4 linked regions of the Alligator mississippiensis genome follow. The protein of the gene in region 4 purifies or fractionates together with the protein of the main gene of each other region. This does not show direct contact. Links are inferred from orthologs where the notes say so. Each region holds a gene or a part of one and is shown on either strand. Other genes may lie near its edges.

Evidence for each region.
Region 1: the proteins of PHLPP1 (region 4) and USP46 purify together in Homo sapiens (affinity purification with mass spectrometry; 7 studies listed by BioGRID and IntAct, counting the BioPlex papers as one, with this or other methods). This does not show direct contact. The link is inferred for Alligator mississippiensis from reciprocal best matches to the Homo sapiens genes PHLPP1 and USP46.
Region 2: the proteins of PHLPP1 (region 4) and FKBP5 purify together in Homo sapiens (affinity purification with mass spectrometry; 4 studies listed by BioGRID and IntAct, with this or other methods). This does not show direct contact. The link is inferred for Alligator mississippiensis from reciprocal best matches to the Homo sapiens genes PHLPP1 and FKBP5.
Region 3: the proteins of PHLPP1 (region 4) and WDR20 purify together in Homo sapiens (affinity purification with mass spectrometry; 4 studies listed by BioGRID and IntAct, with this or other methods). This does not show direct contact. The link is inferred for Alligator mississippiensis from reciprocal best matches to the Homo sapiens genes PHLPP1 and WDR20.

Annotation. Positions count from the first base shown.
Region 1 is NC_081825.1:58,528,128-58,535,247, forward strand, and holds the start of USP46 (ubiquitin carboxyl-terminal hydrolase 46), read right to left. Parts: upstream 3,011-7,120; 5' UTR 2,686-3,010; coding exon of another isoform or gene 2,650-2,685; intron 1,823-2,649; 5' UTR 1,782-1,822; coding exon 1,701-1,781; intron 1-1,700. UniProt on the Homo sapiens protein: Deubiquitinating enzyme that plays a role in behavior, possibly by regulating GABA action. May act by mediating the deubiquitination of GAD1/GAD67.
Region 2 is NC_081837.1:36,310,612-36,318,489, forward strand, and holds the start of FKBP5 (peptidyl-prolyl cis-trans isomerase FKBP5), read left to right. Parts: upstream 1-4,876; 5' UTR 4,877-4,928; intron 4,929-7,878. UniProt on the Homo sapiens protein: Immunophilin protein with PPIase and co-chaperone activities. Component of unligated steroid receptors heterocomplexes through interaction with heat-shock protein 90 (HSP90).
Region 3 is NC_081825.1:284,945,791-284,953,291, reverse strand, and holds the start of WDR20 (WD repeat-containing protein 20), read right to left. Parts: upstream 3,005-7,501; 5' UTR 2,961-3,004; coding exon 2,697-2,960; intron 1-2,696. UniProt on the Homo sapiens protein: Regulator of deubiquitinating complexes. Activates deubiquitinating activity of complexes containing USP12. Anchors at the base of the ubiquitin-contacting loop of USP12 and remotely modulates the catalytic center of the enzyme.
Region 4 is NC_081826.1:126,085,961-126,093,904, reverse strand, and holds the start of PHLPP1 (PH domain leucine-rich repeat-containing protein phosphatase 1), read right to left. Parts: upstream 3,005-7,944; 5' UTR 2,990-3,004; coding exon 1,900-2,989; intron 1-1,899. UniProt on the Homo sapiens protein: Protein phosphatase involved in regulation of Akt and PKC signaling.

The sequences.
Region 1 (7,120 bases), on a different chromosome or scaffold from region 4:
AGTGAGTGTAGTACACAGTTATATCCACACACAGCCTTTGTTTTACAAGGCTAAGCAAGCGAAGATCTTTTAGTTTCCTCTCACTAAATAGGTTCTCCATTCCAGTGATCATCATAGTAGCCCTTCTCTGCACCTGTTGCAGTTTGAATTCCTCCTTCTTGAACATGGGTGACCAGAATTGTACAAATTATTCTAGATGAGATCTTACCAGTCCCTTGAACAATGGCACTAATGCTTTCTCCTTTGTACTGGTAGTGCCTCTGCTAATGACATCCTTATTTGTATTACTCTTTCTCCACCTTACTATTTTGTTTTCTTCTTTTTGGGAGTCTTTTAGATCTCTTGGCTCCCCCTGCAACAGAGTATGTATCACAGAAGTCATCTTATTTAGGGTTGACCTAGGTTCCTCTAGGGTCCACTGATATAGCTCCTTCGAGCAGCTATGCTCATTTTCAGAGGTCCAGTAACTAGAGCATCACCAACTCTTATAGTATTTTATGTCTTTCTTAAATTCTCTTCGCTTCCTGGAATGCTGCAAGAATCTCAGCTTTCTTTTTTTCCCAAAAGAGGTTCTAACCTCTGTGGCTATAGTGGTCAAAGCTTGTAAACAGAACTAGAATCACCCAAAGATGCAAAAAGCAGAATACAACAATCCCAATATTCATTTCCTTTTAAAAACCATTATTTTTGCATCAAGCTTATGACATGTAGATATCTGAATTGTAGTATTTTTACACTTTGTGTTACCCATGCTGAATACAAATGCATCCTTTCCTCAAAGGCTGAGTCTGCTCCTTCCACATTCTTGTCACCCAGGACACCAGGAAGAGAGTAAGGAACCAAACTTAGTCCTGAAGTATGAGTTGTTCTCACTTGTTCTGTTCTTGTTCCCCCTTTTCTGTTTGACTGCTTCATTGCCCTCTTTAATTCCTCCATTATATTAAAATGCTACTTTTGCAGATGTCTATTGATAGTAGTAAGAGCAGCACTAGCCTGAATTAATGCAGGCCTAGTTCAGTTTTGTGTGATGCCCTCCTAGACCCCGAGGGAGAAATATTATGCAAAAGCTTGTCTATATGGAAAAATCTGGGCACGTGTTATGAAAACAGAGGTTTCTTAAGGCTGCATGCCAATGTTAAATCTTTGTAACCAGCTATCAATCTCCAGCTTCCCTTCATGTGATGCTTTGTTATGCATTTTTATGGTGATCACATCCACCATTCATCAACAATATAAACTGAACGCTGCCTATAGGGTAAGGTAAGTAAATCCAGGTTTTTCTCCCCCAATACCGCATGGTTTCCTAAATATTTCTTTGCAATATGCTTGCCTCTTGTCCCATGTGGTTAAAAAAAATAAGTGCAATAAAAACTTTAGAAAAATCACATAATATTGGAGAGGAAAGGTAAGAACCCAGATTATCTTACCCCAGGGATTCTCAACCTTTTTCATAGTATGATCCAAGTCCAGTCCTCCAGTAATACACCTCAGCACAGGTGCTTCAAAGGTGGTAGTGAGGACCTGGTAGAACTGTGGGTGGGGTGCTCCTGGCATCCAAGAATGACTGGTTGCAAGCAAACCCACTTCAGTGGAAGACTGGACCCAGACTGAGAGCAGGCTCACAACCCTCATCCCCCTTGAACAACTGCTGGTGGCCCCCATGGAGGTCACAACTCAGAGGTTGAGAACCACTGCCTTACCCTATAGGTAGGCTCCATTCTCCAGTGCTGATGAATGGTAGGTGTGACATCACCAGCAAAGGGTATGCTGGGGCACCACATGGAGGGAAGCTGGCGACTGCAAGTAACTGCTCTTGAAGAACCTGAAAACAAGGGGGAAAAGCATAAACTAAAACAACAAAGTGCTGGAATGTGCACTTGCCCTATTTGTTTTGGACATTTAACACTTCCTCCTGACATGGATTTATTTTGTTTGACTGCTTTCATTCTAGAATTACTGAATAAATCGCTCGCCAGAAAGTCTTAGAGCCCCCAGATAACAAACATCTTAAAAATCCACAGGCAACGTGGCCTAATAAACCAGCCTTGACAGTCACAGTGTCAAAATGAAAAGTATACTTGAATGTACACTGCACAACCCTCCCTGTCCTCGAGCAGTGGGGCTGCGGGGGGCAAGGACCCAACAAAACAGAGACAAAATGTTCCTGTTTAAATGCACTTTTGGGATCTTTTAGAAGACCATGGGAAAGGTGACGTGTTTCAAAATGCACTACAAGGATCATATGGGGCTGAAAGCAATGCCCATTTGCATCCACTGAAATCCCAGCTGGGTGGGGGTTTGGAAATGCCTTACAGGGGGTAGACTAAGCAGGCGGACCTGGACCCGCAGCTAAGATTTTAAAGCTGGTGCCCAAGTCCATAATGAGGTGCTTAAAGAAGCACCTGGATTTGGTGAAACAATTGAGTGTGGGTGACTGCAGCGCGGGGGGGCGGCTGTTTGGGAAATGAAGCTGCCTACTCTAGGAGCCTACCCAGGGATTTAGGATCCTGACTCGGGCCTCTTTCTTGGAGGTCCTGGCGCCAGGGGCAGGGGGCAGCGAGAGGCAGCCCCCTCCCCCGGGGCATTGGGGGCGGAGTTGGAACCCTTCGGCCGCCCGCCCCCTCCCGGCCCGGCCGTGCGGGTACTCACCATATTACAGATGGAGGCGATGTTTCTGACAGTCATGAGTCTAAAGGTTGCAGCGATCGCCCACCGCCATCTTTACCAGGGGAAAACAGAAGGGCTCATGGCTGGGGGCAGCAGGAGCAGCACCAGAGCCCCCGGGCAGGCGGCGGCGGGCGGCGGAGCATGGGCTGCCGGCCTGCCTCTGCCCTCCCCGCGGCGGCTCCTCGGAGCAGCCGATTCAGCAGCACTGCACGGCCGGCCGCAGCAGCCCCCGCCCCCGCCCCCGCCCGGCGGCCCGGTTCCCTCGCTCCATCGCGGCACGGCGCAGCTTAGCGCAGAGCCCGCGGCAGCGCTGACAGCTCCGGGCAGCGCGGCGCGACTGGCATCCGCGCCTGCCAACCCGCCGCCCGGGCTGCTCGTGCGGCAGCCAATGGCGAGGCGGGGAGGACGGGCAGGTGCCGCCCCCGAGCCTTGCGGGCGGCGGGGCGGGGCGGGGCGGGCTCTTGGCCTGGCCGCAGCTAATCGCCTTCGCGGCTCCTGCGGGGGTGGGGGCGGGGCGGGGTCCCGGCGGCGGCCTAATGAAGCCGCAGGGTTTTGTTGTGTATGAAACAGCGTGAGGTGTCGGGAGCTTTCCAGACCCCACCACGGACTGCCCTGCGCTGCGCTGTCCCCTGCTTCCCAGACACACCTGAAGGTCCCTGGGGACTGTGCCTCCGCACGTGGGGCCGAAGAAATAAGGACTGGGCGTTGGCGCTGCCATAGCACCTCCTGCCCCGGGGTCAGAGCTAGGGCGGCCATTTGTCCCGTTTCATAGAAGTGGTCCGGTTTTCTGGTCCTCCGTCCTCTATTGATATGAAACTGGATGCCTTTATATCCTCTATTTTTCACCAGTTGGCACCCCCTGCCCCCCGTAGTGCCCTGCAGGAGCTTGCCACTCAATGCCACCACGCCCCGCCACGGCTGCTTGCAGGGGCTCAGGGTGCCCCCCAGCTTCAGGAGGCACACGACATTCGTGGTGGGCCTCAGTGCAAGTGTCCTCTTTTCTTGAGATACCTTAATGGCCACCCTAATCAGAGCACTTGCCAACCATCAGTGAACTGAGGCCCACAACATACTGGGAACATGACTATGCTGCTCCCGTACGGCACGACAAAGACTTGTGTTGAGACACAATGCGCTCACACTTTCTCCCCAGAAATGGTGGGTGATGGCCCAGGACACCATGGTCAATGGGGTGCCACACACACACATGTGAGCAGTAGGAGCCCTCACAGCAGCACTTCCCCTGTCCCACCCCGCCCTGGCAGGAGGAGCAGTGCCCAGTCTAGCCTTCCCACCACCTCCCTTCCACCTCCAGCTGTTGCTCAGGTAGGGTGGCCATCATAAAGGACATTTCGGTTTTCTGCTACTCTATTGATACGAAATGACCAAATCGTTGATTATCCAAATTAGCATAAAATCTTAGGATTCGGTTAAATCTAATCAGGGACAGTGATCCGAATCAACTAATTGAATTGCTGTCCCTGATTCAGGCCAAATCCGAATCGATTTGAATTTGGCCTGTTTCACACACCCCTAGTACTAGGCACTTGCCTTGCTGGCACACACCCAGTTCTGCATTAAGGCAACCACTTTACCCCCAGAGAATTAAACACTGCAAGAATAACTATACGGGGCAAAAGACATGTTTTTCTCTTCATCTCCCTCTCCCTCATTTCCTCCTCCTCCCTCCTCAAAGCCTGAAAGCTAATTTGGGTATACTTTTGACCACAGTAGGATTCTAGACAATAGCAGCTTCACTGTGCTGGGGCCTGAACCCACAGCATTTAGGTAGGCAAAACACCCTAAAATCAATGGAACCTGTTTTTTTCCAGAATAAGGTCAGGTCTGCGATCATTAATAAAAGATCAAGAGGACTGAAAATGAAATGTTACCAGCAGAATGCTGTTATTTGGTTTTAGTAATATATGTTGCTGGCCACAGGCCACTTCATAGTGAACGAATGCCAATATTACAAAAGTCACCATCCAAATCGACACTAATTTGGTCTGCTGACAGTTTCAGTGGAGAGGCCAAGGACTGAGATACTGTGGAGACGAACTACTGTCTTATCCCTAGTAGCCTGAATTCATCGTTACTAATCAGAGTAAACACATGTTAATGCCATGGTGGGGGAGTGGGGGAACCAGATGTTAAGTTCCACCTGTATGTTTACCAGAGCTATTAAGCCAGGTCCCCCAATAAGTACAAAATTTACTTTATATAAAACTCAAATAAACACAGAAGCAAATTTGTCTTTCATCCTCCATTGACTTCATGGAATTACACACGGATGAATTCAATCCTGTGAATTGAATTTCATTAGACCTAGATTCTCAGCTGCACCAGAGCTATGCCTAACCCAGCTAAGGGGAAGCTGGTGGGAATCAAGAGGTGACATTACACACCTCTCCACTTGGCTGCTGGATCAGTCAGGGCCTGGAATAGACTCCAATGTGCATGAGAAGCCAACTAGTAGCTCTAAATCATACAGATGAGCCACATAGGTATCATTTTATCAGCCACTGATCATTAGAGTGCTATGCCTTTTGCTGTCCCTAGCCTGCTTCAAACATGTCACTTTCCTTTCGTAAGGAACAGACGGCAAAGACCTGAGTGCTGGCTTTATACTGTAAAGGGATTCCTACGACATTGACAGTGCCCCACTGCCACTTTCAAGACCTCTTTCAATTAGTGGAGCATCACGAGGATTCGATCCAGGCTAATAATCTGGCCCTAATATTATTTTAGCTCACTTTTTTAGTTCATAATGTGTACATGTGAAGGCATGCAATAATTGCAAATGCAACACTGATTACTGCAAACATCAAGTCAAGACAGAAGGTAAGACTTTAAAAACAATCTTTAAAAGTCTTGAAAAAATAGCTATCATGGAATAATCAGCACACAACATTTAGTTATTATTTGATTTTTCTACTGATATAAGTGACTAGCAGCATTGTAAAACTCCTCATTTAGCTTTTAACATTAAAAATAAATACCACATGTATCAATCATGAGGTACCGAAATAGTTCATGTTTCTCCCAATCAAAATGGTTTGTGTTAGCGGTGCATTTCAGGAATAGGAATAAGAAAGAAATGAATCTGAAACAGTTCAAAGTAATTGTATTGAGATGAGACCAAGTAAATCTGGTCTCATCTCAATACAATCTCTGGTCTTTATTTGCAAGTAAATCAAGAAACATGAAAAAATACTTCTTTAAATCTTAAACATTTTAACATTAAAAAAGCCAAAGTCTGTCTGTCCATAACGCTTTATTCACACTCTGATTGACTATGGAAACAGGCAATCAGAGTGCTCCAATCATGGGGGAGCACTGCCATGATTCCAAAGCTGCGCTGAGGCCTGGACAGAGGGTGGGGGAACCAAAGCCAGCAGCGCTCCCTGCAAGCGGCACCAAGGACTGGACAGGCGGTGGGGGAGCCGAGGCCAACAGCACTGGCCTCAGCTCCCCCATCCTGCTCCCTGGAAGAGGCAGAATAGTGGCAGCATGGGGTGTTAGGTGGCAGCACTCCATCCCAGCCCCCTCCCCCTTGTCATTCTTGATGGGCAATTGGCTAGTTTCATATAAAAGTGATGATGAGATTAGGGAAAAGACGACTGGAAGGAAAGATACAACAATGGATAAGACAATGTAGAAACAACTTTATAGAATGCCAAGTAGTGCCATAGAAAAAAATATTTAGTAGCAGAATTATGGATTGATTCAACAGTCTACAGCCTGAAAGAATGCTGTGAAATGTTTGTAGTTTATCAAGAAAGGATACCAAAATAGTTTGTTTGGCACTGGGTAATTTACAAGGTTTGATTGGCATCTGTGCCCGCCTCCGCTCTATTGTACGCTTCCGCGCCACCTTTGCCCGAGCAGCTGATCTTGCTTGCCAGGGACCTACGTGCAGACCGCAGAGGGCACCTCGGCTGTCTTCAGGGTGACCTCCTAACTCACCTGCCACGACTCTGAGTGGTTCTTTAGTGTGGGGGGGGGTCCCCTTTGAGGGTGCCTCGAGTCCTCACGCATCTTGGCGGGCGTTCACGGGGCTCCAACCTCCCCTACACCCAATGTGCCACCCTTAGAGACGGGCCTCTGAGTCTTTTTGCGGCTATCCCCCTACTGGTGTCTTCCCTGGTCTCTGCGTTGCCTCTCGACGATGACCACCCAGGGCCCTGGCTGAACCTCGGTGGGAGGGTCTGGAGACCCTCAGCTTTTGGGCTTGTCTTCTCCAGTGCCCTTAGCCCTCTGTGTCTGCTGGCAGTAGCCGCCAGTGCGTTCTTGCGTGGCTCCTCTCTACCCCTTTGATGGGGTCCTAGCCACCCTCGCCTGGTGCTAAGGACTCCACTAATCTACCCTCAAAAGGGGACCAAGATAGACGAGCCCTAAAAGGGAACACTATCAATGTCTTGATCCTAAACCCCTTTGCCCTAAAACACCCGAC
Region 2 (7,878 bases), on a different chromosome or scaffold from region 4:
TAAATCCTCCACTTCCACCTAGTCCAAGTGGTTTGGAGAAGGACCCCGCAGAAGTTTGAATGATGCTCAAGTCGGAGCTACTTTTCATGAGAATCCTCTTCAGGATTGCTGCCGGCGATGCCAAACAGCTGTGTTCCCTTTGCCCCCACCTATGCACTGCTTAATAGAGCCCTGCCCACATGGTATTATGGTCAGAGTTAATGGATTTGGGACTTGGATGGATGCCGTTAAGCAGGCAGGGGAGAGAGGAAATCACCTGGTGGTTTTTGATATCCACAGGTCTTTCACCTGATCTGTTCCCATGTTTCTGGAGGCTTTACTGGAACCCCAGGAGTGCATTAGTACAGAGATGTGGAGTGTGTAGTGGGAGGAATGCCATAGCATATCACATGCATAACCCAGCAAGCTCAACATAGGTGGAACATGCATGATGCAGTCTATATGTTATTACTGGGACCTGGAGGAATGAGAATGGAGGCTTTCCTGGCTGCACCCTTTCTAGACAACCATCCTGTACAAACCCTTCCTGTTATATATGGCTTCTGTTCTATACATTGTCCCAATCAGTTCAGACACATCACAAACCAGCCATAGAAAGAGTGGCTGAAACTTGGCATGCTACCATTAGCAAAACCAGGCTTGATCAGACCAGCAGAGAAAGCAAGTACTGGTGTTAGGGGTCTTCCTCTTCCAGTATCCCTCCCTCTTCTTCAGGCCCAGTTTCTCAAAGAACCTCAGCATTTAAGCTGATTTTCACTATGATGACAGGTCACAGTAGGAGAGGCACGGCTGTGACTCAAGTCAGTAAAAGCCACTCAATCAAATAGAGAGTAAAGTGTGTGCACAGAGAAAGGCAACACAGCTTGTGCAAAAATTTCCAACACCAGAATGATCATTATGTATACCATTAATGAACAGTGCCATTGCAGGGCTAAAACAACCTTTCTTTTTCTTCTAAGATGCTTTGGCAGTAAGTACCTAGCTCTACATAGATAACATGTTCCTGAGTACATGCCTCTATGAAGTATCAGAGCTGTGTTATGTTCTCCCACAGTAGCAGCTGATACAAATTCTTACCCGATATTACCCTTTGGTTGACAGGCAATATCTTTTGCATAACAAGGACTAGAAGCTGCAGCACAGTTAAAATTATATTAATGTTCTATCCCAAATTGCCCAAAGGCAGGACATTTAGGTTTACACAACTGGCAATCTCAGCTCGAGAGAGGCCCAGCACCTGAATAACGGTGTTGAGTTAAGACTAAGGGACACTGGCAGAGCTGTGGGGTACACTGGATTGTCTGGGCTCACAGCTGGAATAGCAGAGGCTGTTTGTGGGTCACGGCTGGCATACACTGGGGGAAAAGAAGGGGTTGGGGTGACAGTGTTGAAGAGGTGCTTTAGTATGTCAGACTTGAGGCATGCTGCCAGAGCTGGATGTGAACCTACAGCAAGAATGGGAAGGGGTGCTGTAGGTTGGGGAAAGATGCACTGGTAATGTTTTATGCAGATACTTGCCAGCAGATGAAGTTAGTGTGACTAATACTTGACTTTCTCATCTACTCTAAATTCACTTATAAAAGCCTAAAGAGAAAAAAAACAAGCAATCGGAGGCTTCTATTTTGCTCTGAATCCAACCACTTTAGCATAAGCATTGCAGAGGTCTCAGAACAGTGTGATCTTACATAATGCCTATGCTGCAATACACAGGCACAAGAAGGTGAACTGAGGACAGAGTGGCTGCCTTAGCTGTGAATTTCCTGGCTTTTGGGAGTTTACGTCAGTCTCACTGTTTTAATGTCCTTTTTAAATTTAATTTCCTTCTAAAATAGTACTATAAAATTAAGGAGGGGAGAGAAATAGGGGCGTGATAAGCCCCAACTTTTAAATAGCTAGAATTTGTTACAGAACATCATCCAGATTGAAAAGTGTTCTTTAAAAGAAAATTCCATCACATTCATGCCAAGTGATCATTTTTAAAGAAAGTAGCTGCCATTTTTGTGGTACAGTGTGAAGCCAGTGTGTGAGCTCCTCCCACTGACTTTCATGGTATCCAGTGGAGATATGGTGGAGGACTCTGGCCTCACTCATGCTTTCTGCACAAAATAAGTGGCCTGTTTCGCGTTGGCTATCTTTGAAGCCCGCAATAATGGCTTGTTAAATGGGAAATAGAAGTGTTGGGGTTGGGTCAGGGAAACGATGTAACGTTTAAGGTTATAGGAGGATTTAAAATGAAAGTTAAAACAATGCTGGTAGATTTTGTTCCTCGTGTATTTATGAATGTCCAGAGTTTCCCCACTGCATTTCAATTAGGCAAAAGCTGTGTTAAAGTAACTCCCCCTTACACTGAACCAGCTGCTACCTTCTAAATTTCAGTTTCAATTTTAGCCTCTCATTTCCAAGGCATTCTGTTGGTCTCTAAAGGCAAAAAAGCTAACATGATTCAACATCACATCAAAAAAACAGACACTGCCAGAAAGAGATTAATAACATTATAAATCCACTGACAAATAAGCTTGTCCTTAGGTCACCTATTGTAGCAATAAAAGGGGGAAAGCCAGGTCCAATTGCAGATTTATAGTAAGAGGTGGTCCTTTGCAGATGAAAAACAAATGAAAACGTCTCCTTTGATATTTGTACAGCTCTCAAGACAATCAGGTCCTGACCATGGTTGGGGCCCTGGTTGTCTTATAATACCAATCAAGCCAATTAAAAAGGAAATAAAAAGGTTGGAGGGTTGGACTTTCAAATGCTCCGTGCCCAGGATTGGAGCCAGGCTTCCAAGAGTTTAGGGCTGGTTTGACCATTTGTCCGCTGCTGCCAGTAAACCAGAACATGAGACTGAAAAAATACAAGTAATTTAGCTACTTTCCCTGTCCTAAACTGACAGCTACTGAAACATAAAGTGCAACACTAGTGAGAAGGTATTACATTACACACAGCATTCTGGGTTCTAGCTACAGTGCTGTTTCCAATACAGTTTAAAACAAAAGTCTTAAGCCAAACAACAGCCACAATCATTACAATAACCATCATTTCCTCCAAAAAATTCCTTTCTAGCGCTAACTTTTAGAAAACTACAAGAGGGTTTGTTTTTCTGATACAATGCTAAAAATAACAGCCAAGGGAACAAACCAGAAAACTATATGTTCTGATAACAGGGCTAGTCTAATATTAAACCCATAAAACAAAGAAAAGAGGAGTTTAGTTAGTGTTTAACTCCCACCCCTGCTGTGTCTCTAAACAGTGGTCAGAATATGCCACATGCTTCGAAAGCCAGGCATCCACCAAAGGGGTGGACTGAGGACAAATGGGTTTAGCTTGAAGATAGAGAATACCTTGACACAGACTTGCAGGCCTCAAGTAGAGCAACTCTTTAGCACTGCTGGGCTAGTGCAACAGAGTTAGGTAGGGACTGACTCCCTTGCAACTGGGGCGACAGAGCTGCTGAGTCAGTCTGTGCAATTATGTTCAGAGTTGAAACACGCAGCCCACTTTTTCCCTGAAGAGCTCACTCACTCACTCAGCACAGGGAGTGTAGAAAACCTGGCCCCAAATGTGTCACGGGGCGAGGGAGCTGCTGTGACCTGAGCCCCCTGGGGACATTGGGAATGTTGGCCAGCGCTCTCAGGTACAGGAGTCTGCCCCCCGTCATACGCACTTCCCCAGGCAAGGATACCCTGTGCGGCAAAACAGAGGGGGAGAGGGGAGCAGGAGAAGGGAAGGTAGGAGCCAGTCTGCTTTCACTGTTGCAGCAAGCAAAGGGTCAGAGGAGACAAAACAAATAAATAAAAAAGCCAGTTGTAGGAATTTGTGGGTTACATTTTCACATGTGGGTTCACTGGTTTTCTTTCCACTCTTGTGGGGGAGGATGAGAGACCCCCACACCAAGCAAAACTGAGCAGTGGAAGGAGTGACTCTGAATAGTATTATTAATAGTATTAGTAGCAGTAGCATTACTATTTTTGTTATCATTTTAATAGTACTATTATTAGTGCAATGTCGTTTGTATTACTATCATCACCATCATTACTGTTGTTGTTGCTGTTGTTATTTATTTATTGTTGCATGATGATAATTACTATTACTGTTATTGCTGTTATCATCCTCTTCCTCCTCCTCCTTGTTTTGGCCATTATTATTATTATTGCAAGATGATGATGACGTTATTGCTGCTGGTATCATCATTGCTGCGGCTGTATTTTTATTGTACCACGATAATGATGATGATCGCTGCTGGTATCATCACCGTCATCGTTGTTGCTATTATGACTATTTTTATTTTCATTCCTTGTACCTTGAGGAGGAGGAGGACTATTATTGTTGCTGCTATTGCCATCATCCTTATCGCTGTCGCTGCTGATATCATTTATTATTTCTTATTGTGCGATGAGGAGGAGGACGGCCCCAGCAGTAATCCTCATCGTTGCTGCTGCTGTTGTTATTATGGATTAACATTTGGATCGCATCCTGATCACGGCTCGGATCAGCATCAGCTCTGTTGTAATGACTATTTCTCCTTACGGGTATCCACGACCACTTTTGTTGTTATCGCTACTCTTCTTCCTCTTCCCCTGCTCACTGCTGGGGGGGCGATGATGGCTCTTCCCCGCTCCCAGAGCCGCGCTGCCCCGCGGAACGAGCGGCTACCACTCCCGGCCCCGAGGCGCCGCGCAGCGCCGGGCACATCTGGGCAGCTGCAGCCAGCCGCGCGCTGCCCCCGGCCTCGAGCTCAGCACCCCGGGGGGGCGGGGGTAGAACACCCTGTTGATTTGCATGCGGGAGCAGAGATGGCCAATGAGCAGGCGGCTCGCCCGGACGGGCAAGGCTGACTGCCAATGGACGCGCCGAGGGGCGTGGCCTCGCGCAGGGGACCCGCGGCCGGCGCGGGAGCTCAGTGCATTCGCAGCGGGCAGCGGCGGCGGCAGGTAGCGGGGCTGGGCAGCGCGGGGCGGGTGGGGGATCTGTTCCGCTGCTTCCCTGTGGTGCAGGGTGCGAAATGCAAACATGTGGAGCTCTTGGTTCCCAAATGCTACCTCTGATTAGACCAACTGGGGAATTTTAACTACAAAAAAATCGCTTTTTTGGGGGTGGGGGTGAGTGTGTGCACGGAAGCTGCGATGTGTGGAGGGGTCTCGAGGCCGAGCCCCAGCGCCTTCGGCCCTGAGCGTTGTGCCTGGTCTCTGGACATCAAGGGTGGCAGGCAGGGCGCCCCAAAGCCAGCTCCAGCCCTGGTCCTGGGGAGCCCCGGGGGCTTCGTCCCTGCGAATCCGTCCTGGGTGTCCGATGCCACCGAGGGGCATCCGGCTGCCCGGGGGTAGATGCGGGGCCTGCCCCCCTGCCTGGCAGTGAGCGAGCAGGGGGGGATGGATGCCTTTGCTGTGGCGCATCTTGTTCAAGTCGCAACAGTGTCATTTTTAACCTGGAATGTTTAATTTAGCAAAAGTCCCCGCGTCCTTAGTCTTGTTTGCCCTGGGTTTTTGTAAAAATGAAAAGGTAAATGTTCTGCTTTGCTACAGTTTTACCTGTTTGCAAACAGGACTTTCCCCCTATCTGCTCCGCTGCTCTGCTTTCTGCTCCCCGGTCTATCTGCCCCTGTGCTGCCTGCCCCCTCCCCGCTCTGCCTCGTGCCACACACGCGCTGCCTGTGACACTTGTGGCACATATGCTGGAGCTTGGCCACCCATTTTAGACCGGCTGATTGACAACTGGGCTGCATGAACCACAGGCAACCTTTTACCCACTGCTGAAATGGTGTCCTGCGACTTCCTATAGCTGCGCTCTCTAGGGCACTGGAGCAGAGACCCCTTGGTCTGCAGCAGTGATACACCGCACAAAGGGGGGCTCTTTCTTTCTTTTTTTCTTTCTTTCTCTAAAAGCCAAAGCTTTGTCACAAAACGAAGCTCTTATGTCAAGACACCAGTATTTTTCCTAATGATACCTGCCTAAAATATCCTGCGAAGCGTAAAAATAAAGACGTGAGAGAGAAGTTGGAGCAATTATAATAAATTGCACAAAATAGACATGATTTTAGGTTCTTGCTCTTATTTTCTCTCTCTTAGTCAATAGGCAAAATAGCTGTCGTGAAGCTGCTATTTTCCTGCTGGTAAATGCATACTCGGACAAACATATTGATACCACAAAAGAATATCATTTGCATGATGGGATGTAAGAGCTTTTGACGAATAAATTCAGAAATAATGCATGTCTTGAGTTGATGAATTCCAGTCCACATCTCTAGTGATGTATTCAAGATGCCTTTCGACGCAGCTTTGTATAGTTTTGTCTGCATGATGAGATTGTCTGTGTTTAAATAAACAGGGCTTTGCTAATGGTAGCTTACGTGGTGTAGGGGAGGCCTGAAGGTGCCAGTTTGTGAAGTGCCATCCCATCAAATGAGCAAACTGATGGTATTAAAATATTGCTTTCTCATCTGTTTTGGAGGATAGCTGATTTTAAATCAAGACTTTAAGGTTGGCTGGGAAAGATGCTGAAACTTGACTTAAAACATTTTAGCCAGTCGTCATGGGGCAAGAGCCGTGTTCAACCCGAGTATAATAAACAATTGAAAAGAAAGCTTTTCCCGTGTCCCGAAAATATGCTGGGGAAATTTTTTGAATTCTTTTTTCCTCAAACCATGTGTGAATACTGCTCCATAAGTATAGTCATTGCTCCATAAGTATAATCACGGCAGAGGAAACAAAGAAATGTTTTTAGCCACAGGAAGAAGAAGGCAGCTGGCTGCTATGGGCAAACTTCATAAAGATGCAGTAGGCTTGAATGAAAATTAGGTAGAATATTAATGAAGGAAAGGACTTTGCTGTCAATCTGCAAGCCCTAGTTGGATTGCTGAATGTGCTGGCTTGTAATCTTTAAGTGTGTGTATATTATAATGTTTGAAACAAAATACCTCTTCAAGTACAAGTATTTGAGGAGGTATAAACATCGCCGAGGCAGAGGAAATGATTACCACCATGCACAATGGAATTTCTAGGGGAAAAAAATGAAAGTGAGCAAGGGAACAATGTACTCGCAGTACTGCGAGTGCTAGGAATTTTACTGGACAAAAATGTAGTCCCAGTTGCTGAGATATTGTGTAATGTTATATAGGAAGTGATGAATGAGGGCAGTGAACACTTGGGGAGATGGAGAGTGAAGGGGAAGGAAGGACAGAGTGTTAGAATAAGATCTTGCACTTAGTATAGGCATAGATGTGCCTTGACTTTACAGTTACTTATTTTACGTTCTTGGGGGCACTTGTGGAACGTAGCTCGAACACTGGAGAGAACTGAACAGTCGTCTTTTGCTGCACAGTATATGTATTGAAGCCTCACAGGCTACACCAGTGATGTGTAGTTCAGTAGTTATTGTGGATGGCGGGGGGACTCGAAAGTCAGACCAGGTTTTTGTTCTCTCGTCTAGCACAAACTGGGGCAGTTGCTTTGGACCATATCAGGCTTCTTGTCTGTAAAATGGGTATAAATACTCATTTTGTTTTGAAGTACTTTAAGATCCAGTGTTTCTCAACTCATGGGCTGCAAAAATATTTGAAAGGGTCACAAACTTTAAAAATGGGTTCTCCTTTAAAGGAGAAAATTGTGGGAAACCGTGGTTTTTCCCTTGCAGGCTGGTGGTCCAACCTCCATGGGGCTGCTTGGGCCACCCCCCCATACCCCACGTACCCACCTGCTGCCCCACACACTGGGAGGCAGGGGGCAGTGGGTCAGGAGTGAGGGGCACTGGGTTGGGACTGGCCATTGATCTTTAGAAATGGGTCCTGGTAGAAAAAAGGTTGAGAACGACCGGTCTAGCAGAACTGTAATGGAACAAAGCATTACAAAGGTCTCAAGTTGCGGCAAGGGAAGTTTAGGTTGGATA
Region 3 (7,501 bases), on a different chromosome or scaffold from region 4:
ATCTCTCATAGCACAAAAGCAGTTTTATACCCCAATCATCTTTGTTGCCCTTCTCTGAACCTTTTCTAAGTCAGGTATATTCTTTTGAGATGGAGTGACCAGAACTGCAAGAAGTCAAAATGTGACTGTACTACATTTTATGTAAGAACATTTTCCATTTCTTCATATAAATTCCTAATGATACTTAATATTTTTAATTTGCCTTTTTGACTACCAGTGCACTGTGAGCTCATGTTTTTAGAGAAATTTCCACAGGGACATCAAAATCTTTCTTGAGTAGTAATAACTAATACAGAGGCCATCACTGGGGATGTATAGCCTGGGTTATTTTTCCCCCTTTGGCAGGGATCATTTCAATGCTGATATGCCTCTTTATTACCCTCAGTTTTAAGAGATTTTCCTGCAACTCCATTAGCCTTAGTTTTGATTATCAAGAACAAAATTGTATCACCTACAAACTTTGCCACTTAACTACCTCCCTTTTCCAGATCATTTCTGAATGTGCAGAACAGCACAGGTCCCAGCATAGCTCTCTGAAGGACCTCACCGTTTACCTTCCTCCATTCTGAAAAGTCACCATCTAATCCTACACTTCAACTCCTACCCTTTAACCAGTTTTCAGTACGTGAAAGGGCCTTCTTCCCCTTCTGATTCCAGGACAGCCTACTTTCTTTCAGCTTTTTGCAAGAGACTGTCAGCGGCTTTTTGCAAATCCAAGTATACTGTAACAACTGTATCCTCCTTATCCACACATGCTTGTTGCCATACTCAAAGAACTCCAGCAGACTGCTAAGAGAAAGTTTTGCATATCTAAAGGTTTCTTTATATCAGTAATGCTCATTGGAGCCACTACTCAGAAAGCAGTTGCAAGAGTTTAATAATTTACTTTGCAACTCTTCCATAGCTGAATCAAGTATTATATATATTAAAGAAGAATCAGTAACCTGCAAAAAAGCTCTGCTACAGAAACAGTTATCTAAACCTGGTGGAAAGCCCGTGCCCCTAGTAGAGGTCAGTGGAATAATTCACACTGACTTCAGTCAAAACAAGAGACTTTTAACTCTAGTTGGCAATAAGAAAGATGTAAAAATAACAATTTATTTTGTAGTTTCAACAAGACGACAAATTTGCATGTGTTATAATTAACTTAAAGTTTTTGAACCGATTTATTCTAAATGGATTAGGAAAGTAACCAAGTCTATTGAAGAAAATTATTTTTAAAAAAGAAAAAAAAAACTTTAACCCTCAAGTTACATAAATAAAACTATCATCTCTTTTATAGCCTTTATCAAATTGGTAAAATTGCTGACAAGCTCTTAAATACAAATTTCATTACAACTCTCTTGTATGTTTTACAATGTTGTTCAGAGGAAAACAGGCATCTAGTATAATGTTTATTCTTATGCATCAAAACCCCTAAGTTAGACACCCAATGGGCAGATATAGGAGCATTTTCAACAGCATGTAATGAAGTGAGCTCAGGCTCACAAAAGTTCATACTATGCATGTCTTATTTAGTTAAGGATGCAAATCTACTCTGCCTTCAACATTTTACCCACCCACAAACGTAAATACCATTTTACTGAAGAGATACTGAAAAACTATTTAAAAACAGCAAATAAAGTGTATAAACTTTAAAGCTGGCACGTAGAAGTTTCCTGGTCTAGAGACACTCTCACCCATTGGATTTTTCTTTACTTTTAAGAAAGATCAATTAAAAAAGGAGATTGGCAAGGGTCACATGTACTGTAATTGGGCTACATGAAAGCCTGCTCCAAGTAAAACAGTTGCAGAAATCTGCAGCTATTCCCTACACACAACAGACACAGAAGTCTAGATTATATGGGTGGCAGAATAAAGAGAGGAGGCTGCTGCCAGTGATCTGTGGACACTGCATCCTCCCTATAGAAAGGAAAGTAGTAAAGCTAGCAACTGTTTCGCATGAGTGAGAAATATTTCTGTTCAAACACCAGATACTTTTCAGGAACTTAAAAAAAGACCAGTTGATAATTAAGTCTTGAAATTCACAAATGTGGCTGAGAGCCGCCCAAACAAGCCGGACTGACCCAGCAGGCATGAAGGCGAACAAGCGCATGTACCCATTTCACAGAAACTAGTAATGGATGGGATCCAGTGGGCCCTCAGTCACTGACAACCGAACCTCAGCTCCTGGCTGTGCTTAGCAAGGAGCGGTTGGGGCACTCCCCAGGGACCCCGGAGACCCAGGCAGCATTTCCACAAGCCTCCCCTCATGACCTTGGGCAAGTCGCTGGCTCTCCTCGTGCCTCGGCTTCCCACCCCGACCGAGCACAGGGGCCCGGGGGGGGGGGGGGGGGGGGGGGGGGCGAGGGTCCCAAAGGCGGTAGAGATTACACACCCCTCTCTCCCTATGCCGACATCGCTGCCTCTGCCCACGTCCAGCAGCGCAGTTGTCTCCTGGCCCAGGGAAAGAAGCCAGACCGGGGCCTCGAGCACTCACGGGGCACCAACAAGAGACTGCGATCAGGGGACGGCCGAGGCCGGCCAGGCCCCGCGCAGCGACACGGGCCAGCGCCGGGGGCACCTGGCGGCAAAGGCCCCGCCGCGCGGGCGCAGCCCCGCCTGACGCAGCGCGTCCCCCGGGCCTGGGCTCCCTCCCCCGGGGCACAGCTGCGGGCGCAGGCCCCCACCCCGCAGCAGCCCCGGCCCCGCGGTACCTTGCGGACCCCCTTGTAGATGTAGAAGTAGAGCTCCCGGCCCACATTGAAGCAGAGCCGGTCGCCGTTGCCGCTCTGGTCGTTGACGTTGACGAAGGAGACGCGGACCGGGTTGGAGCCCTGCGAGTTGAAGGGCACGCGGTTGGGCCGGCTGTACTCCGAGTGGCTCAGCAACTTGTACACCCCCTCCCGGGTGGTGAACTGGGTCTTAATCTCGTTCATCTCCTTCCCTCCTCCCTCCGCCGCCATCTTGGAAAGGAGCATTCATCCTGCCCCAGTGCCCGGATGTAGCCCCACTGCGCAGGCGCCGCCGCTCACTCGCCCTGCCCGGGGGCGTCCGCGCAGGCGCCGTGCTGGGGGAGGAGCCGCTCGCCTGTTTACGGCGCCACTGCGCATGAGCGGGCGGGGCTGCTGCCCGCTTAGCCCCAGCCGCGGAGGGGGGCGGGGCTTCTCCTCGTGGAAAGGGTGGGAATAGAGAGGGGGAGGGGGGGGTAGCTGTCCAGCGCATGCGCAGAGGCGTAGTAAACAGGCCACCGTGCTCTGGCCCACGTGCCTCCCCAAGGTGGATAAAAAAACGATTAAAAAAAATATATTTTTTTTTTTAATTTCAAACAGATTTTTTTTTAATTTAATCTTTTTTTGGTTAAGATGCTTTTTTAAAAAAACCATATAGAGTTTTAATTTATGTTAAAGCTCAAAGGTATCATGGAATTGGGATTATAACTTATAGTCATATACTATTTGAGACAATATATTCATTAAACCTTTTTAGATGTTTTATTAATAGGTCACAGCAGGCCATGGGCTATATATTAGGGGCCCAGATCCTGCCTGACTAACCTTGTTTCCTTTTATGACCAGGTCACAAAGTCCTTGGATGCAGGTGTTGAGGTGGATGTCGTCTACCTGGACTTCAAGAAGGCCTTTGACACTGTTTCTCACCCCATGCTCATAAAAAATCTAGGCAACTGTGGCATTGATGCCTACACAGTCAGATGGGTGGCAAATTGGCTCAATGGTCGTACCCAGGGAGTGGTGGTGGACAGGTCATTTTCAACCTGGAGGGATGTGGGCAGTGGAGTTCCCCAGGGCTCGGTCCTTGGGCCTGTGCTATTCAACATCTTTATCAGTGACTTAGAGGTGGACGTGGAAAGCACGCTGTCCAAATTCACTGATGACACAAAGATGTGGGGGAGAAGTGGGCACACTGGAGGGGAGGGACAGAATTCATCTAGATCTAGACAAGTTACGGAGGTGGGCAGATGAGAATAGGATGGAATTCAATGCAGACAAGTGCAGGGTGCTGCATCTATGGAGAAGGAACCTGCAGCATACCTATAGGCTAGGGAACACCCTTCTTATTAACACAGTAGCCGAAAGGGATCTTGGAGTCATTGTTGACTCCAGGACGGACATGAACAGCCAATGCAAGGAAGTGGTCAATAAGGTAACTACACCTTGTGCATCTACAGATGCATCACAAGCAGGTCCAGGGAAGTGATCCTTCCCCTCTATGCAGTGCTGGTTAGGCCATAGTTGGAGTATTGCATCCAGTTCTGGGCACTGCACTTGAAGAGGGATGTGGCTAACCTTGAGAGGGTTCAGAGGAGGGCCACTCGTATGGTCCAGGTGCAGCAGGCCAGGCCCTATGAAGATAGACTAAAGGGCCTGAATCTATTCAGCCTCCACAAGAGAAGACTAAGAGGGGATCTGGTGGCTGTCTATAAATTTGCCAGGGAGGACCAGCAGAAAATAGATGAGGCTGTGTTCCCGTGGGCATCACCTGGAATAACAAGGGATAACAGCCACAAATTGATTGAAAGCAAGTTCAGGCTTGATACCAGGAGGCATTACTTAAGCCATACATTATGGTTAGGGCTGCCAGGCTCTAGAATGGGCTCCCAAGGGAAGTGGTGCGCTCCCCTACCTTGGGGGTCTTCAAGAGGAGGTTGGATAGATATCTGGCTGGGGTATTATGATCCCAGCACTCATTCCTGCCCAGGGCAGGGGGTCGAACTTGATGATCTGTTCAGGTCTGTTCTGCCCCTAGAAACTATGAAACTGGATTTGTGTCTCTAGAGCACATAGACAGACAAGGTTCTTTGGGTAGATACAATAGCTTTTATTAGACCAACTAAATAGTTGAAAAAATTGTTCTTTGCAAACTTTTGGGCACAAACGCCCTTCTTCAAGCACAGGGGGAGCATGTTGTCTCTAGAGATAACATCCTTGTGAACAGCAGTGTATGGAGGTGAGAGCGAACAGACCTGATTACCCACTCATCAGCCCTGTTGTCTCTCTGCAAGTTTGTGTACACACAGTCAAGCCCTTACCTCTTAGTGCAAAGTTTCAAGAAGTTAATAAAGGATATCAAACTACAAGAATGCACTTTTTTTAGAAACCAATTATTAAATCGAGGCTCCCTTACCAGTGATTTAAATCATGATTTAATTTGATTTGAATCAAATCCACCCTGGTTTTCCCGTCTTGCAGCAGAGAGCAGGGGTTTGCTTAGGGGGGAGGCAGGGGATCTTCTGAGGGTGACACTGATTAGAGGCGCTGGTGCTTCTGCTGGGGGTTAGGGCCTGGAAGGCAAAGGAGGTGGGGGGCAGTGAGAGCTGCAGTGGGGAGAGGCCCTGGTGCCTGGAGTGGGCAAAGTTGTCAAGCTCAGTCTTCCCCCTGCATTTCAGTAGCCCACACCCAGGCTAAGGTGCACTAGAATGAGTGTGGGTCTGAGCCTCTGGGTCTGGTGATGTGGGTCTGACACCAACACACTCCTGAGGACATCTCGCCTCTGGGGACAGTGTTGCTGCAGACCTGTTAAGAGGCAATAAAGGCATGAGTGACCAAGGCAGAAGGAAGTTAGAGTTGCACCTGTCACAACCCAAGTTGTGAGTTTTTGTTTTGTGTGCTTCGGCACAGCTAAATTGCTCCCCGCTAAATTGTTCCCTCCAAATTGCAGCTTCTTTGCACGGTGGAGTTTTCTGCTGCAACAGAGAACCCCGGGTGCAAAAGAAGTTCCCGCCAATTCGTAGCTTTCTTTGCAGTGTGCATTTCTAAGTTGCAGCACGGTGATGCACGTTGCAAAGAGTTCCTGCCATTTGTATTCTAATTCGAGCCCCATTATTGGTTTACGTTAAATTATTCACATGTGACAGCTAGCGATTGGCCTGCTAGCCGTATAAAAGGCTTGTGTGGTTTCCGCCCTAGTTGGAGGACTCCACGAACACCAGGAGAAGGAGACTTCACGCTGTGTGAAGATCTCTAAGCGCTGCGGATCCTCACGGACCCAAAGCATTTTAAGCAGGCAACAGAGGTCTGATCAGCCTCTAGCCTCTCCCCGTCGCCGTACGATCCTAGACGTATCCTTCCCTGCACGCCAAAGAGACGGATCCACGGAGCCTAGCAAACTTCGTGTGAGTGAGTCTATTCAGAGCTCTTTACCGGACGGACTTTCTCCGGTTGGTCTGACAGGCTCGCGGTTTAGAGCCTCCAACCGGATGGGCTAGAAGAGTGTTCCCGGAGGAACTCTAGTCCGCCTCTCTTCTTTTCTATCCGCAACTGTAACTCAAGCAAGTTCTCAGCCTGCACCGCGACCATCTCGGTGTAAGTAAACAATCTTAAAATCAACCGTTACGCGTCTGTGCCTAATTCTAGCTCGGCGACCTCCTTCTCTGACCCGGCCTGCCCAGGCTGCCGGCCACAGCCCGCGTGCAGAGCGACAAAAAGGGCCCGGGGCTTGACCCAGCCCGCACAGCACCTTGCAGACTAAATTGGAGATGTGCAAGCCTTACTAAGCAGCAGCTTCCTAGCTTCTGATGAAGCAAACTGTCGCTTACTTGTGTAGCTCTGATTCAGTCTGATGCCAATCTACCCTGCCTTCTGTCTGTGGCAAGCTAGTGTGGCTCCCTGTCTGAATAACTGAGGCCAGGTTAATGTCTGCCAGGGTTAGTGAGAGCCACTTATCAAGCCAAAAATGATAGGCAAGTTACTTGTGAGAATTTTAGTGTTAGTGAGGAAGCCAAAAGCATTCCCAAACTACATGTTGAATTGAGCAATTGTGCCTCAGTCAAAGGCGATTTCACCATGCAAACTCTTCAAACCCAGTTTGACCCCACACCTGTCAGGTTCAGCTTCAGCCAGCTGTTATTTCTCTGCAGGGCCATCTCAGTAGTAGTGGCTTAATAGCGTGTGGTGAGGGACTGGTAGAGCTGTTATCTGTTTATTGCCACCACTTGAGTCTTTATCAGACCAGTTGACATAGTGGTTGTTTAAAGAATTGATCCTTATGAAATTCCATGTAAGAGGGATCTACTGGAGGAAGCACAGTTTTCCTGTTACTACTTGTGGACTGTGTCCTTCTGAAAAGGACTCAGAATATTTCCTTGGATCCTTAATGCCTCTCTCAGGTAAAACATATCTCAAGGTCAACGTGCTACAGACAGTTTCAGGCAGATGAGAGTGGATGTCTGCCATCTATCCACTGACAGTAGATTTGTTCCTAACTTTATTTCAGCTACATGTCCTAGCCTAACTCCAGGGTGTGCTACATCTAGAATATTAGCTTCAGATAGTTAGGCTTCTCTAGCGATCTTTTGACTAAATTATCTATGAGCTTGTTTGGGAATCCTAAGTTTGACACTGGGGAGTACTGTCTAGAATCAATGCGTCTAAAGTGAGTTTCTTCAGTGTTTGTCAAACTACAGCACATTTGGAAATGAAAGAAAAGGTCACTTCTCTGAATGATGCTTTGGCTATTTTGATCTTAAATCATTGGTGACACGTAGGGGGTGCATGCGGGCGCA
Region 4 (7,944 bases):
GTTATAAGTACACACGCACACATACTTACACAGAGAAATAAATTTAGTTCTCCCAGGGACTGTGCATAGTTTTCTTTCTTTAAGGAAACAGATGGGTGGGGAAATACAAAGCAACTCTGCAACCCTATATCATGTTTTACATAAGTAACTTAACTAACAGCCTCAGAAACATGAAATTCTGTGCAGTTATAAAATTAACATTGTTACAACTTCTATCCCCTCTGCCCCTCCACCTCCCCAACTTCTGCATGGCAAGTCTCAAGAGCAAAATTTCTAATGCAAGAGCGGTGTTGTATTTTGGGTGTGTTGGTCTAAGGACATAGCCAGACAAGGTTCTTTGGGTAAATCTGATATTTTTTATTAGACCATCAAAAAGTTTTAGTTAGTCTAATAAAAGATACCAGATTTACCCAAAGAACCTTGCCTGCCTGTGTTGAAATCTGGGCACCTGACCAAGATTCTTGATAGATATGTCCTCCACTTATTTTGCATTTAAAATACTTCTACACTTTATTTTCTTCAGTAAAACCCCACTGCTATATAAACACTTAATTGCTTCCCAAATTAACACGAACGTATTTCTGAGAACTAAATGCTGTCACTAAGTCGCTCAAGTCGTAAGCTCCTGCTGCTAACCTGTACAAGTGCAAGCCAACCAAAGTGGTTTGCTACCCATTTCTCTAAACTTGTAAATTAGGGAGCCAAAGGCAAGTCAAATAAATGGTTCAAAGCCAAATCCAGCAGACAGCTCTGCTAAACCAAGAAGAAACTAATTGCTATTATGTAAACATATATTAGAAAGACAAACTTCTGTCATGAATCTAACAGAGAAAGACAAGTGCACTTCTACAAGAACGCAATACCTTACAACCAATTCAAACCTGAAGGGCAAATGTCAAATATGCCCTCATAGAAAGGAACACATCGCAAGCTAACCTTCTGGACCCAAATATCATGCAGGATATGGACAAAACCCAGATTCATAAAAAGGAGGCAGGGGGTGGATAATCACAAAAATTCACAGTGTAGTTAGTGGACACAGCAGAAACGCCCCACCTTTGGCTAAAGAAGGCTTTTTGAGGCAACCTTGCAAAAATTCATCTCCAGGCTGCTAGTGTCTGGAGTCTGACTCCAGAATCAGTTCCAGCTCTTTCCCCCCCCCCCGGGTCTAGTTTTGTTGCGCAAGGAATAAAATAAAGTTTCATTTTTCCTTTTAGAAATAAAAAGGAAAAAAAAAAAGGCTGGTAGGGCAGATAAAGATGACAGGCTTTTGGAGATGGATATTACTAGTCTGCCCACAGGTTGGGGAAGGGGGGGAGGGAGTGGTAACTGCATGCAGATTTACACTGTGACCCTAGAGCAGCAGCCCTCAAGCCTTGAAGCACCCCCAGGAAATTTGAGGTGCTCCTTTGAAAGCATTTTGCAGTTTTCACTGCACTTTAGAGTCAGGAAAGAGAATGGAGCCCTTCTTCTGTTGCCAGGAAGACCCCAGCAGGGCAAAACGCTCTTGACACTATGGATTCCCATTTTGCAATCTCCCCTGACAGAAGGGTCTCCTCCCGCAAGGTGCTTTAGACCCCAGAAAATCTGGGTGGGAAAGGGCTTCAGGAGGCCATCTAGACCAACCCCCCCACCACTCCCTAGCTCAAAGCATGACCCTCCCCAACCCAGGCTTCAACCTTAAATCCCCTAAGGATGGAGATGGCACCACCACTCTGGGCCTGCTCCGGGGCTCTACCAGCCTCCTGAGGAGGTAAGTTTCAGGTGTCTACCCTCCACTTCCCACAGCCTCGCTCCTTGGGCGGCTGCGTGCTGCCCCCCCGCACTGTGGCACCCACGGGGTCTGTCAACCTGGCAGCCCCTTCTCTCCCCCCCCCCCCGCCCGGCGGTAGCGCTGACCTGCATAGAAGCGGATGAGGCAGCCGGTCTCGGGGTCCAGGCCCTCCTCCTGCACCCGCCACAGGTCGCGGAAGCCGAGCTGCGAGAGGTAGTCGTTCTGGATCTGCAGGGGCCGCTCGTGGGCCTCCAGGCGGCGGCTGGTCTCGCCGTGCAGCTGCACGTACAGCGCCCCCTCGGGCGCGGGCAGCTCGGCCGGGCGCGGGGGCGGCGGCGCCTCGGCCTCCAGCTCCTCGGAGGAGGAGGACGAGGCGGACGAGGCGGCGCTGCTGTAGGCGTCCAGGCGCCCGGAGGCGCTGCCGGGGCTGAGGCTGAAGCCGTCGCTGTCCGACAGCTCGCCCAGCAGCGAGGGGCAGGAGCGCGGCGGCCCCGCGGCGTACAGCTCGGGGCCGGGCAGCGAGCGCGGCCCGGCGGGGCGGCGGCCCCGCGGCTCCCCCGGCACCCGCACGGCCCCGCCGCCGCCGCCCAGCCGGGCCGCCACCTGGGCCGCCGTGGTGTCCAACGTGCAGAGCACGGGGCGCGGGCCGGCGCCGCTGCGGCGCTCGCAGACGTGCACGCAGCCCCGCTGCAGGTCCCGCCGCACCCAGTCCCGCTCGGGCGCCGGCAGCGGCTGCAGCTGCCGGGCCGGCTTCAGCCCCGCCGCCTTCCTGTCCAGGCTGCGGGTGGCCGGCGCGGCCGACAGGTTCCTCTTCAGCCGCCCCCGCCGCAGCAGCAGCGAGTTGGCGCCGCCGCCCGCCAGCGCCGAGCCCCCGGCCGCCCCTCGCCTCTTGCGCGGAGCCGCGGCGGCGGCGGCGGCTTTGCCCGGCAGCGGCTGCTGCTGCTGTTGCTCCCGCGCGGGCTCCATGGCCGCGGCTGGCGCCTGGGTGCGGGGGCGGGGCGTGGAAGGCCGGGCGCCGCCGCGTTCCGCCGGGGGATTACGAGGCGGCCGCGAACATTCCTGCGCTGTCGCCGCGTTCCGCGCTCCGCGCCTCAGCGCCGCTGCCCAGCTGTCGCCAGCGCCATTAGGGGCCCGGCCGCCTCCCTCGCCCGGCCCCGCCCCCTTCGCGCGGGGGCTCATGAATATGCAGCGGCCCCCGCCTCGGGGTGACGCCATGCCGCCCTCTGCCGCGCGCATGCGCAGTTGGGGGCGGGGCGGGGCGGGGGGCGCTGGGGGATGTAGGCACCTCCTTCCCGCGTCCCGGCTGAGGCGGCGTTTCCGTTCCTCCCACACCCCCGATCCCGTGGCTGGTCTTAAGCAGGGGCAGGTCTTTCTCACTTTCCGTCTCCCAAGTCCTTGGTTTCCTTTCTGTTCCGTCCGGGCAGAGCGCGGACCAGCTGCAGACGCTTCCTTCGCCTGACCGAAGGGTGTTTGTACCCGCAAAGAAAAACTTTTCCAACTTCTTTTCGTTGGCGGGGGCTGGTCTGAGAGGGAGGCACGCCTCCCCCGCAAGCCCTTGGTTTCTTTTCTGTTCCATCCAGGCAGAGCACAGACCAACGGCGGACGCTTCCTCCACCTGACGACGGGTGTTTGTACCCGAAAGCTTGCAAAGAAGAATTTTTCCAACTCTTTTCGTTGGTGGGAGCTGGTCTGAGGCAAGCCTCCCTCCCCCCACAAGCCCTTGGTTTCTTTTCTGTTCCGTCCAGGCAGAGCACAGACCAACGGCAGACGCTTCCTCCGCCTGACAAACAGTGCTCGTACTTGCAAAGAAGAACTTTTCCAACTATTTTAGCTGGTCTAATAAAAGATCTCCAATTTACTCAAAGAACCTTGTTTCTCAAAAGCAGTCCTGGCTTTGCAGGGAGCTGTGCCCCCGCCCCCACCCCAATCTGTTGCCAGGTGTACGATAATTATCGTATATGTACACTCGTTTCAACCCTTGTACAATGTACCAGCAATGATAGTAAAAGCACTCAAAATGTACGATGGTGTCCAGGTTGCAGCTGTACAGGTCTAGAGGAAAAAAGCAATCAGGGCTCATGGACAGAGGTGATATTTTTTATTAGATCAAGATTTACAATATTTTATTTTACTAGATATCTTTTATTAGACCAACAAAATGTACAATCATTTTTGAGGGATATAGGTTGTGGCATATAGCTGTAAGAAATGGACACAAACAGATCACAGAGCAACTCCCTCAAAAGGACTCTGAGGAACCAAGGGGAAAAATGTCCATCCTTTACCTCCCCTGTGCAAAATGAAGTGTCTTTTCTACCTGGGAGAACTTTTACAATCTTTGAGTTCTCCTCAGCCTGACAAGGGTGTTTGGACCCAAAAGCTTGCAAAGAAAGAAATGTTTCTGCTACTATTTAGTCGGTCTAATAAAAGATAACCACCGCTCGCCCGAGAGTTTTGTTTGGCAATAATTTTTGAGGCAGACAAAACTCTTGGGCGAGAGGCGATATCTTTTATTAGACCAAGTAAATAGCAAAGAATTTCTTTCTTTGCAAGCTTTCAGGTTCAAAGTTTTGTTTGAATAAAAGATACTGCTTCTAGTCCAAGAGTTTTATCTGCTTCTGCTTTTTAGACCAACATGGCTACAACCTATATGCTGATAATTTTTTATGTTTTTGTCTATTAGATGTTTCAACTTTGACAACCCAGTTCTCACTCTATATTGCTCTTTGTAAGGTCCAGTGAGTAATATAAAGTAGATAAGACTTATTTGCATGCTTATTTGTATATTTTTTCAGTGTACAATAGTTTTTCAGCAAATATCATTTGAGCTTCTAATATAATAATTTCAAATTGAAGACCTGGCAGCACTGCCCCCCACCACCAACTTCCATCCCAAGGCCCATGGGGCTGGGCTCTCTGCTCGCTCCCCTCATAGGGTTGCCAGCCCTCCAGGATTGCTTTGGAGTGCCCAGGAATTGGACTGCTGAGAGTCACCTGGGAGATAAATGATAGGACATTCATTAAATATTAAATGTTGAGTCCAATGTATACAGTAGTTCAGTGGGTTTTTTAAATTTAATAGTAATGTGTATTTGCCTTCCTGACGTAAAATCTACGCACTGTAATCCATAATTGATATATGCAAGCAGGCAGACACATTTGTGTTGTGTGTCGCGGGCACGTTGGCATTCTAGAAACCTCCCGGAATAGATTCAAATAGAGTCCGCAACCCTATTTTTCAGTCTTCCAGCTGCAGCCCCTTTAAAGAGCCCTGAGGCCTTGGGGACCAGATTAAGAGCCAAACACAGCCCTGAGATAAACTCCCCTTTCCATGTCTCCCTCCAGCCCAGGGTTCTCAGGGGGTGCAGGACCCTGTGGTGCCTCCAGATCCTTCCAAAGCTGCCTCCAGATCCTGTCAAGTGTGCCACGGGGATGTTAGCACTCTTAGGTGTGCAAACATGACTCACAAGATAAACCCAGAGATCCCACGTAGGCACACGTCATGTTACCAGCGTTCTACCCCGCTGTGCTCTTCCTGAGGTCTTTGCAACACAATTGCTCCCTTATTTTTCAGTAGTCAAAAAAACAAGTGGAAGAGCTGGAGCTTTCCAGGGGGTGCCTCGAGTCTATCGACAGCTGCTTCCAGTCCAACAAGGTTGAAGGTCACTACTCTACCCCCTCGAGACCCTCTCAGTCCAGAGGGCCTGGCCACAATGCAAGCTGGAACCCCAGGGCCCTGGTGCTGCCATGTACTGCAACTTTCTCCTTCACGTGGCTTAAGCTAGTTTTTAAACCTATGCTAGGACTTTGTCCCCAACTCCGTGGTTCCAAGGAATCTGAAATCTTATCAGGGGCTTTGTTAAAAATAGCTGATCAAGGCAACTATAGGGCCTGGGACACTGATACTGGAATCTATGCTTCACGTCACTAGAAATTCATCAGTGTTCACAAGTAATTGCCAGTTCATAGCTTCTTAGTGGCTGGTGTGAAGCAATATGGAAGTCTGTTCACCTCATCCATGCAATTAAAAAAATAATAACCCCTGCTTCTTTTTTTGGTGAAGAGGTCAAGGACTGAAAATGAAAAGGGTGAGCTATGCTTCTTATTCCTTGAGGATGGTCAGAGCCAGGGGGAAACATAAATTTGTGAGGAAACTTGTGCAGCTGCTCTGTGTGTTTGATGAACAGAGACAAGACTTTGATTTTTTTTTAAATGGATAGAAGCGACAGTGAAGCTGTACAATTTTCCAAATAGAATTTAAAAATATATATTACAATTGCAAAGACTGGATAGAGTTTAACCAAGCAAATGCATTCATTTTAATACTATACAGACACAGTTCTTTGGTATTTACTTAAACAATCCTCTTCTGGAATTCACGGGTGAAGTTTTAGCTAAGTAATAATCAGCTAAATTATGCTCTAACTTTTTAACATACTTTTAAAATATGATTTATAAAGGTGTCAAGAAACATTTTGCCAAATATTTGTTAGAAACACCCCAGGCTGCACTAAATTGATAGCCTTTGGCAGTTAACCAAGTAACATCAGCATGATGGCAGACCAAAATTGAATCTTCCTTATTAAGAACCCTAAGGCCCCTGCTACACATTACATATTATGCAATCTACTGGTTAATCACACAATAAATCTCAACTGGTCACACGTGTAAAGTAATTATCACACAATAAAAATGATTATTCAGGTATAAAAAGACCAAACTAGCTATAAGTTAGTGCTTGAAAATGTGTAACAACTCTAGAGCTGGTTTCATCCAGCTTTAGTTTGAATGTGTAGCAAGGCCCAGAAAAACAATGCAACGTGAAAGTACAGATTTACCTGTGAACTTATAAACAAGGAAATCAAAATTCACCCTTCACAATAATGCAGTCTTTAACGTTTGTTCATTATTTTGATCATCTTTTATATCTTGTATAAGTGTGTTACAGAGAAAACACATAAGAGGTCTTCCCTAAATAATGTATCTTAAAAAATTATTTTATTTTCTATTAAATAGGTATCCAAATTATAGAACGAAAACAGTAATTATGTTCACAATTTATTTTCACTGGGTGATAGCTGTCCCTTTGAACTGAGTGATTTGTAAATGAGTTGCTCTGTCCTGAATCTGCAAAAATCTTGTCTATACTAACTGCAAGCAAAAGCTTCTTTGGAGTTATTTCTAAACTGAGTAACCAGAATCACATCCAGAAAGCAAATTAACAAAAGTTAAGTGCAGCACTCAGCCAGTAAAGGCAACCTTTGAAGGGAGTAATATACAGCAAAAGTGCGGCACTGTCCAGTGTTTCTGTCTACTTCTCCACTAGTTTTCTTGCTGTAAGTAAACTTTGATACTGTTGCTAAATTAGGATACATGTTTAAGAATGAGGCCTGTAAAGCACTAAGGGTAGACATCTAAGTGATTCCAGTTAACTTGCAAAGAATTGTGAAGGGTCAAGAAAAAGTAGACTATTGGAGATGAGAAGGTTTGAAAAGGAAGAATTTAATATTCATCAGCACTGACCCAGTGTATTTCAAGTGTGTTTTAGTAGCCTATTTTTTCTACAGAGAGAGAATTTGCCTACAGAGAAAAAGGCAAGTTGGCTTTACACTGAAACAGAAGCCAAGGAAACCATGTCAAATAAAGCAATATCATAATGTTTTTCTTTGTATAAAGCCTGTTTTCAAAGCAATGTTGGATTTCATCAATAATGATATGACTGAGGGTTTTTTTTAAGTTCAGCTTGCAATTCCTCTTGTCATCTCTATGTGCAGTTGCCATGATTGTGAAAGCAAATTGGCTTTGAACACATACAAGTGACAAAGAGCCAGCAATTTGTGCCTGCACTTACCCAAGTCATGGGCTTGGTCACAGTGATTGCATGTATACGCATGCTCACTGCATATTTTGCTCATCTAAGGCCATGTTTTAAGTAGTAGTGTCCTGGAGCATGCCATACTGCTTTCTCCAGGCTGTCTCCTAAACTGGAAGCAATGTAGCAGTGGCACAGGGAAACCTGAGGCAGGCTAAGCAGCCAATCTACATCATGTGGCATGCTTAGGGGCATCACTGATGGGGCACAGTAAGTTTGTTGTGAAGATACACCCTGAACTTGTTAGGCTCCTTCAAGAGAGCTTTTAAGGAATTGCTTAAATCTACCCCTTATTCAG